Linked DNA regions of Arabidopsis thaliana. The protein of the gene in region 1 interacts with the protein of each later gene in a pairwise test. Each region holds a gene or a part of one and is shown on either strand. Other genes may lie near its edges.

What was found. Proteins that work in one complex are often made in the same cells at the same time.
Region 2: the proteins of AT3G61260 (region 1) and ROP10 interact in a protein complementation assay, tested with the Arabidopsis thaliana proteins (one large-scale study listed by BioGRID).

Annotation. Positions count from the first base shown.
Region 1 is NC_003074.8:22,675,048-22,678,807, reverse strand, and holds AT3G61260 (Remorin family protein), read left to right. Parts: upstream 1-1,956; 5' UTR 1,957-2,106; coding exon 2,107-2,326; intron 2,327-2,728; coding exon 2,729-2,782; intron 2,783-2,863; coding exon 2,864-2,951; intron 2,952-3,040; coding exon 3,041-3,122; intron 3,123-3,210; coding exon 3,211-3,405; 3' UTR 3,406-3,747; downstream 3,748-3,760. Other genes in the region: AT3G61270 (O-glucosyltransferase rumi-like protein (DUF821)), read right to left, coding at 1-297, 401-538.
Region 2 is NC_003074.8:17,729,545-17,733,304, forward strand, and holds the start of ROP10 (RHO-related protein from plants 10), read left to right. Parts: upstream 1-1,792; 5' UTR 1,793-2,016; coding exon 2,017-2,121; intron 2,122-2,446; coding exon 2,447-2,534; intron 2,535-2,732; coding exon 2,733-2,842; intron 2,843-2,935; coding exon 2,936-2,999; intron 3,000-3,094; coding exon 3,095-3,159; intron 3,160-3,260; coding exon 3,261-3,326; coding exon of another isoform or gene 3,327-3,368; exon of another isoform or gene 3,369-3,427; coding exon 3,428-3,531; intron 3,532-3,672; coding exon 3,673-3,697; 3' UTR 3,698-3,760. UniProt on the Arabidopsis thaliana protein: Acts as a negative regulator of abscisic acid (ABA) responses.

The sequences.
Region 1 (3,760 bases):
CTTATATCTCTTAACGTACGCCTTCCCGTTACGGATCACCAATCTAAAATGCGCCGTTCTACTCGCTTCTTCGATCATCCCTCTAGTTATCCCCGTTTGTTTCCATGGCCGTAGATCTTCATGGATCCAACGGAAATAAGAAGGACACGTGGATGATTTTGAACTGTTGTTGGGGTTTAATCTCGATTTGCGGTTTTGTGAGATAGGAGTTTGACTTGATTGGTTCTGTACGAAGTCGCATCCGTAAGGATTTGGTTCTTTTGTCTTTGTTGTTAGCTTTAAACCTGCAAAAGCATTCTATAAAACAAAACAATAAGACAAATTATGATTATGATTAACGTTAACTACTGCGATTTATATTAAAGATAAACCAAGAATGTAAGGTGATATTAAAACCCACGAAATCGAGATAGCCCAGTAAGTCTAAGATAGCAGCTGAAATGAATAGAACGACGATGAAAACAGTAGCCTTCACGATGCTTTTTCGAGGAAATGTCACCGTTTTATTATGTTGGCCGTCGTTGTTATTCATCTTCATGCTTCTGTTTTGTGTTTATGTTGATGCACGAGTTTATGTAATAAAAGATTAACGAGAGAGCCGAGAGGATACATAAAAGGAGAATCAACAGAAACGCAACACAAAAGTATGAAGATAACAAAAAAAAAAACATGATATGACATCAAACTCATATATTTATTCCCTAAAACATACAATAAAGAAGTTTATTGTTTATAAGTAAGAGATGCATGTGATGTAATACAGGTCTAGAGATTTTGTTTTATGTTAATAGTATTTGTATAGACATTTTGTTTTAAGTGACGTATTATTTATTAGTATTTGTTTCCAGTAACATTAAATGGTATTAACATGGCACGGTCTAAGAAGTCAATATTTTCTAACTACCTCCAACTACGAGAGTGGACGTGCCAAATTGCACTTTTAGTTTTAGTAAGTACAACAAGATCAATAATGTAAGATGCACTTGATAATTAGGCACATTCCAGTCACTAACTCTTATCTTTGTCCATATAAGCCATTTTAAATTGTTTTTATTGACTTCTTTAAAGATAGCAAACACTAGTTAAACACACAAATCAAAGTTTTATAAGGTATGCGATATATTAATAACTGACGCTGTGAATGTGATTAGGCCTTTTCTGAAGTCATGCTTTTCCCACTTAGACATAACAATTTTACCTTCATCCCTATTCAGATGGAAACAGTTGGTTAAGATCGGTTTACGTCCATGGTTTGGATTTTGGAAGATATCATATCAGTGTTGGTTATAGGTAGGTGTTGTGTTAAGTGTTAACATCTCCCCTAATTTTTTTGTAAAATCAAAAGAGCTTCATTAAAAGTTACTAACTTCTATGCTTGATGTCTAGTGAGTAGTGACTTAGTTTAGTAATGGAACTTAAACTATGATATCTGTACAGTTGTACTAACGCTTCCGCATCATATAGAATGATAGAAAACAAATGTGTATTTACGGAGCGAATCTCGGAGTAGTTTGGATCAGTTTAGTCTTTTTGGAAAACAAATCCTGTCAGATAGCTTTTGGATCTTTCCTAAAAACCTCTAAATAAAGAATATGAATCGAGCCCAATAAATTAGGCCCATCTTATACGGCACGTCTTATACACGCGCTCCTACAAACATGGATAATATCCACGCGCCAATAGAGTGCGTGGGGTCACAACAACTCAGTATCTTATCTGTCTCCAGCGTGTCTTCCTCCACGTCACGCTTTCGTCCGACATATTATTATTTAAACAGAAAAACAATTTACTAATGAAAACAAATTGACATTTGCTTACGTGGCATATGTTTAACCGCATTACCTGTCTGTCGGCAAGCTGAATTTTTGTGTTCGGCTGCATCGCAGTTCACGTGGATACACAACAAATGGATTTATAACCGTAGGATCTGATGCCTTTATATATCAACGGATAATAAAATAAGGTATTTTTAACCCCAAAAAAACGCGGCTAATACGTATAAACATCTTTCTGTTGCTTGGAAATAATATCTTCAATTTTTCATATTTCGTTTTTAATTTGGTTTTCTTTTTTCCTCTCTATTTCTTCGGCTGAGAGGCGGCGACTATGGCGGAGGAACAGAAGATAGCGTTAGAATCAGAATCTCCGGCGAAGGTTACGACTCCTGCTCCAGCAGATACACCGGCTCCAGCTCCGGCAGAGATTCCGGCTCCAGCTCCAGCTCCGACTCCGGCTGATGTCACGAAAGACGTTGCAGAGGAGAAAATTCAAAACCCACCTCCGGAGCAAATTTTCGATGACTCCAAAGCCCTTACTGTTGTTGAGAGTAAGTTAATTTCTCTTAACGCATGTAATTATGGATTCTGTTCTCTGATAATCTTCTGCTTTGACGAGGAAATATTGGTTTTGGGGTTAACTTGGTTCTGTATTTTAAAAATTAGGTTTTATTGGTTATTAGGATTGGGTTGCTCCAGAGATAGAATTTGTCATTGAAATACGATTAGAGTGCACAGTTAAATTCGAATTCGTTTCGATTTAAAGTCTCGAGATTGGTAAATTTAGTTTTGTTGTGATGTATAATTCAATGTATATGGTCATTAAGCACCCAAAAATTGTAGCTTTATGTTCATAACCATGCATATGTTTTGTATGTGTTTGCTTGTGACTCTCTTCTGTGGCAATTTTGCTGGTTATGTTTGAAATTTTAACGGAATGAATTTTTTTACAGAACCTGTAGAAGAGCCTGCACCGGCGAAACCTGCGTCTGCATCGCTCGATAGAGGTGAGCTTAAACAAAATTGTGTGACTTCTTTCTGGATGTAATGTTTGTTAAAGTTTCTGAGTTCCATTGTTTGGTTTGTAGATGTTAAGCTAGCTGATTTGTCAAAGGAAAAGAGATTGTCTTTCGTCAGAGCGTGGGAAGAAAGCGAAAAGAGCAAAGCAGAGAACAAGTAAGACATTTTATTTTATCGTCACTGGTTTTAGGTTTTGGCTTTTTTATGTTCTTTGCCTGATTTTGCTGACTATTGACATGAAACAGAGCTGAGAAGAAGATTGCAGATGTTCATGCTTGGGAAAACAGCAAGAAAGCAGCTGTCGAAGCGCAACTCAAGAAAATCGAGGTATAATAAACTTAGCAATAGAGAGGTGAAACGGTTTTAATGTGATTGAGAAGTGAAGTGTTAATTTGTGAGTTTTTTCTCAATGCAGGAGCAACTAGAGAAGAAGAAAGCAGAGTATGCAGAGAGGATGAAGAATAAGGTTGCAGCGATTCACAAGGAAGCAGAAGAGAGAAGAGCAATGATTGAAGCTAAGCGTGGAGAAGACGTTCTTAAAGCAGAAGAAACGGCTGCTAAATACAGAGCCACTGGAATTGTTCCAAAGGCAACTTGTGGATGTTTCTAATCTTGAATTTGCGAATCAAAGTTTCAAGACTTCGTAACTGTAAAGTGTAATCAAATTTCTCTGTTCTCTTTAATGGCTTGTAATGTTGTTTGTATATTGATTTTGTGTGTGACAATCAGAGTGAAAAATATGTTTCATTGTTTTCTTTCCGCAATTTTCTCAAGCATTGTCACATCACATCATGGAGAGAAGATTGATGACTCAAGTCATTAAGAATATGAGGAGATTTTCTAAAGTTCTTCAACTAATAACAGTAGCTAATGGACCAAAAGAAATTCGAAGGACGGGATCCTAAGTTCAGTTTGTTTATAACGTATTTTTGAATGTAACACTTAAATTTAATTTCGTTTAAATT
Region 2 (3,760 bases), 4.9 Mb from region 1:
TTACTAAGATTGATGAATAAGTTTGATAGCAGATGTTACAGAAAAAAAGAAGGAAAAGTTTGGTTGCTATTTTCCAAAACTTAAAAGTCCCCAATTCAGAGTTAATCCTAATTCCTATATATATATATATCTTTCTCTCTTCTATAACTACATATGTGTTTAACCAAGTTATGTTCATTTCTCCTAGCTAGAACCAGGTAAAATTTGTTTTATTGAAATAATCTATACAATTAATTGGTAATGAGTAATGCCAGAATCTTACAAAAAAAATGATGGCAAAATATAACAGTTTTTAATGCTAAACAAAATAAGAAGGATCAACCGATAAAGAAAAAGAAATAACGTACTATAATCAATGCTTCTTAAGCATGTGATTAGCTTTTAGTATCCTTTTAATCCTACTATATTATTTGGGAAATACATTTTAAATGTAACCTTAATTTTTGTAATTAATTACATGACAATACCATTAGAAAAATTTAATCAAAAACAAAATCTTTTAATGACATCATTAAGGTTACCAAAATCATTTAACGACAATATTCATTTCTTAATTATAGGGCTTGTTGAATCTAAAGACGGGTCATCAAAGATTTTCTAAACTAAAGCAAAATATACCGAATATTCAAATATCTTTCTGTTACCAAATTATAAACAAATAAGTTCGTAAAACAATTTAATATTTTATATACGAAATCAATAAATCTTAATCACATAAAAATTTGTACAAAAAAAAAGTATTCAACAATTAAAAATTTATCAAATCTCTGTGTTATATAAGTTTTGATATTATATTCGAATAAAGTGTAATATACCTTTTTAATTTGTATTCTTTAACTAATTTAAGCTAACTAATATATTTGCTAATCTTATACCTATTAAAACCGACTATCGTTTCTTATCTCTATAGTATTTTTGCAAGATTTTTTTGGTGGATTTGGATAAAAGTGCATTCGGGTCATATGGTACATTCCCCTATTAAATAAATATGGTGCACTCCTATGTTATTAGCTAAAATGTTTAGAATTCAGAGTCATATCATAAATAAAATTAATATGAATAAAATAAATGGCTTTTTGGCAAGACGGATTTAGAAGGACGGGTTTTTGAATCAACATTAATAAAAAAGTAAAATATAATTAATCCACCGTTTCAATACGGGTAAAATCTTTAATTTATTATTTTTTAAGACCACTAATATTAAACATATCAAATTATCCTAATTTAGAAAATATTATATAAAACCAAAAATGTTATGTGATATGTATAATGTTACTATATATAAAATTAAACTATAAAATATAAATGTATTAGAGAATGATACAATTTGCAAAACTTTTATATATAATAAATAATTCTTAAATTTTAAAAATTACGACTTAAAAAAAAACTCACGGGACGGGTAAAGAAATTACAGAACGAGTTTTATTTTGGAATTCGGTTATATGGTGGATGTATTTGAATCAATATTTATAAAATTATAAAATATTATTAATATGCTGTTTTAATAAGGGTTAAAACTTCAGTTTTTTAACAATTGTCTTATAGATTCGTGGCATAGCGTTACTTAATAACAATTATAAACCGTAAAATATAAATATTTTATAAAAATAAAATTTGCAAGTTTTAATATATATTACCTTTAAAAAATTAATCGTCTCGCGGTATACCACGGGTTAAAATCTAATACATTTGTAAAAGCGATAAATATGAAACGATTTAGAAAAGTCATGTGGATTAGATGGATATATCATGTGAGCCCCTCTTCTTTCCCTCTCTTCAGTCTTCAAACCAAAAAACGAAAGAGACAAAAATACAAAATTGAAACTTTGAAAATATTGAAAGAAAAGTGAAAAAAAAGAGAGTTTAGTTTTTTTAATCATATGGGGTTTATATAGTTTATTACCACACTTCCTCATGTTAATCACTTCATTTATCTCTCTATTATCTCTCTCACAATCTCTCTGGTTTTTGGGCGTTTCTTCGTTGAAAGTTGTTTGCTTTTGGTGAGTTAGAATGGCTTCGAGTGCTTCAAAATTCATCAAATGTGTGACTGTTGGAGATGGTGCCGTTGGAAAAACTTGTATGCTCATCTGCTACACTAGCAACAAATTCCCTACTGTAAGTTTAAAATTTGATCAAGTAAATCACAGTTTCGCTGATTTTTCATCAAATTGTTCTTTCGGGCATCTCCAATTTCGTCACTTTTAGTTGAATATACTTCTGGGTCTGTCAAATTTCAACTCTTTCACCGAGAATTTTAGCATGGTATTTCAAAGTTAGCTCCTTTTTTAGGGATTGTGCAAAAATAATCCTTTTTTGGAGATTCTGAAAAATCTTACATTGTAAAGTTAGTGGCTTTCTTGATTCACCAGTGTTTCCTCTTACTCTATTGCGCATTTGTTGTTCTCGTGAAGTTAAAGATTTGCTTGATGGATTGTATCAGGACTACATACCAACAGTTTTTGACAACTTTAGTGTTAATGTTGTGGTTGAAGGCATCACTGTGAACTTAGGCCTTTGGGACACTGCCGGTAAGTAACATTTCTGTATCCCTCTCTTGAATATCTCAGAATAACCAAGTTCACTAATGTTATGTGGTTCTAATCTTTCTAACATCTAGCAAGTTTGCTTTTGATTTGGGATTCTTAGATAGAGAACTTTATAGGGAGTGTTGAAGATTAGTGACTGTTAAGAGTTTTATGATTATGAGTACCCTTTCATGTTTGCAGGGCAAGAAGACTATAACAGACTAAGGCCTTTAAGTTACAGAGGAGCAGATGTTTTTGTGTTGGCTTTCTCATTGATCAGCCGAGCTAGCTATGAGAATGTGTTTAAAAAGGTTTGTGGAAATTGGATTCATTGTATTTCTTACTGGGAAAACAAAGAATGAAATGTGAATTTCTGATGTTTTTGAAGCGTTTATTTTGTTCAGTGGATCCCTGAACTCCAACACTTTGCACCAGGAGTCCCCATTGTGCTTGTTGGTACCAAAATGGGTAAGATAGCTATAAGAGTGGAGCCAACATATTTCCTTGTGTAATGCTTGAGAATCACATATATGTAATGTTTCTTACAATGTTCCGTTATCTAGATCTTCGTGAAGATAGACATTACTTGTCTGATCATCCTGGACTGTCCCCGGTAACTACATCACAGGTGTGCTTTTTCAACCTGTAGAAACCGAAAAGATTGTTGTGACATTCTCTAGACTCTCTCTTCTCTAGGTTTTATATGATTTAATCATTCATGTGTTACAGGGAGAGGAACTCCGCAAGCATATCGGAGCGACTTATTACATTGAATGTAGCTCAAAAACTCAACAGGTACACTTGTTCATGTGTGTTTGGAAACTTAGGAGTCATTAGTGTTAGGTGACTCTTTACTTGCAAACTATATGCTTTTCTTTGGTTCATGGCTTTTGCAGAATGTGAAAGCCGTATTTGATGCTGCTATTAAAGTAGTAATTAAACCAGCAGTGAAACAAAAGGAGAAGAAGAAGAAGCAGAAGCCTCGCAGCGGATGTCTCTCGTAAGTTCAATAATCTTCACTCTTTTTAATATATAACTAAGAAATTATGTAATACTAGAATTTGGTTATGCAACCTTTAGCTTCTTCATACAGTTTTGTTTGTTTGTGTAATGATTATAGATTGGCTTCTCTATTGTGCAGAAACATTCTGTGTGGGAAGAATTGATGAGTCAATTCCATCTGATGATTGTTCACTTCTTTTTTTTTCTTTTCTTTTCTAATTGGCCAG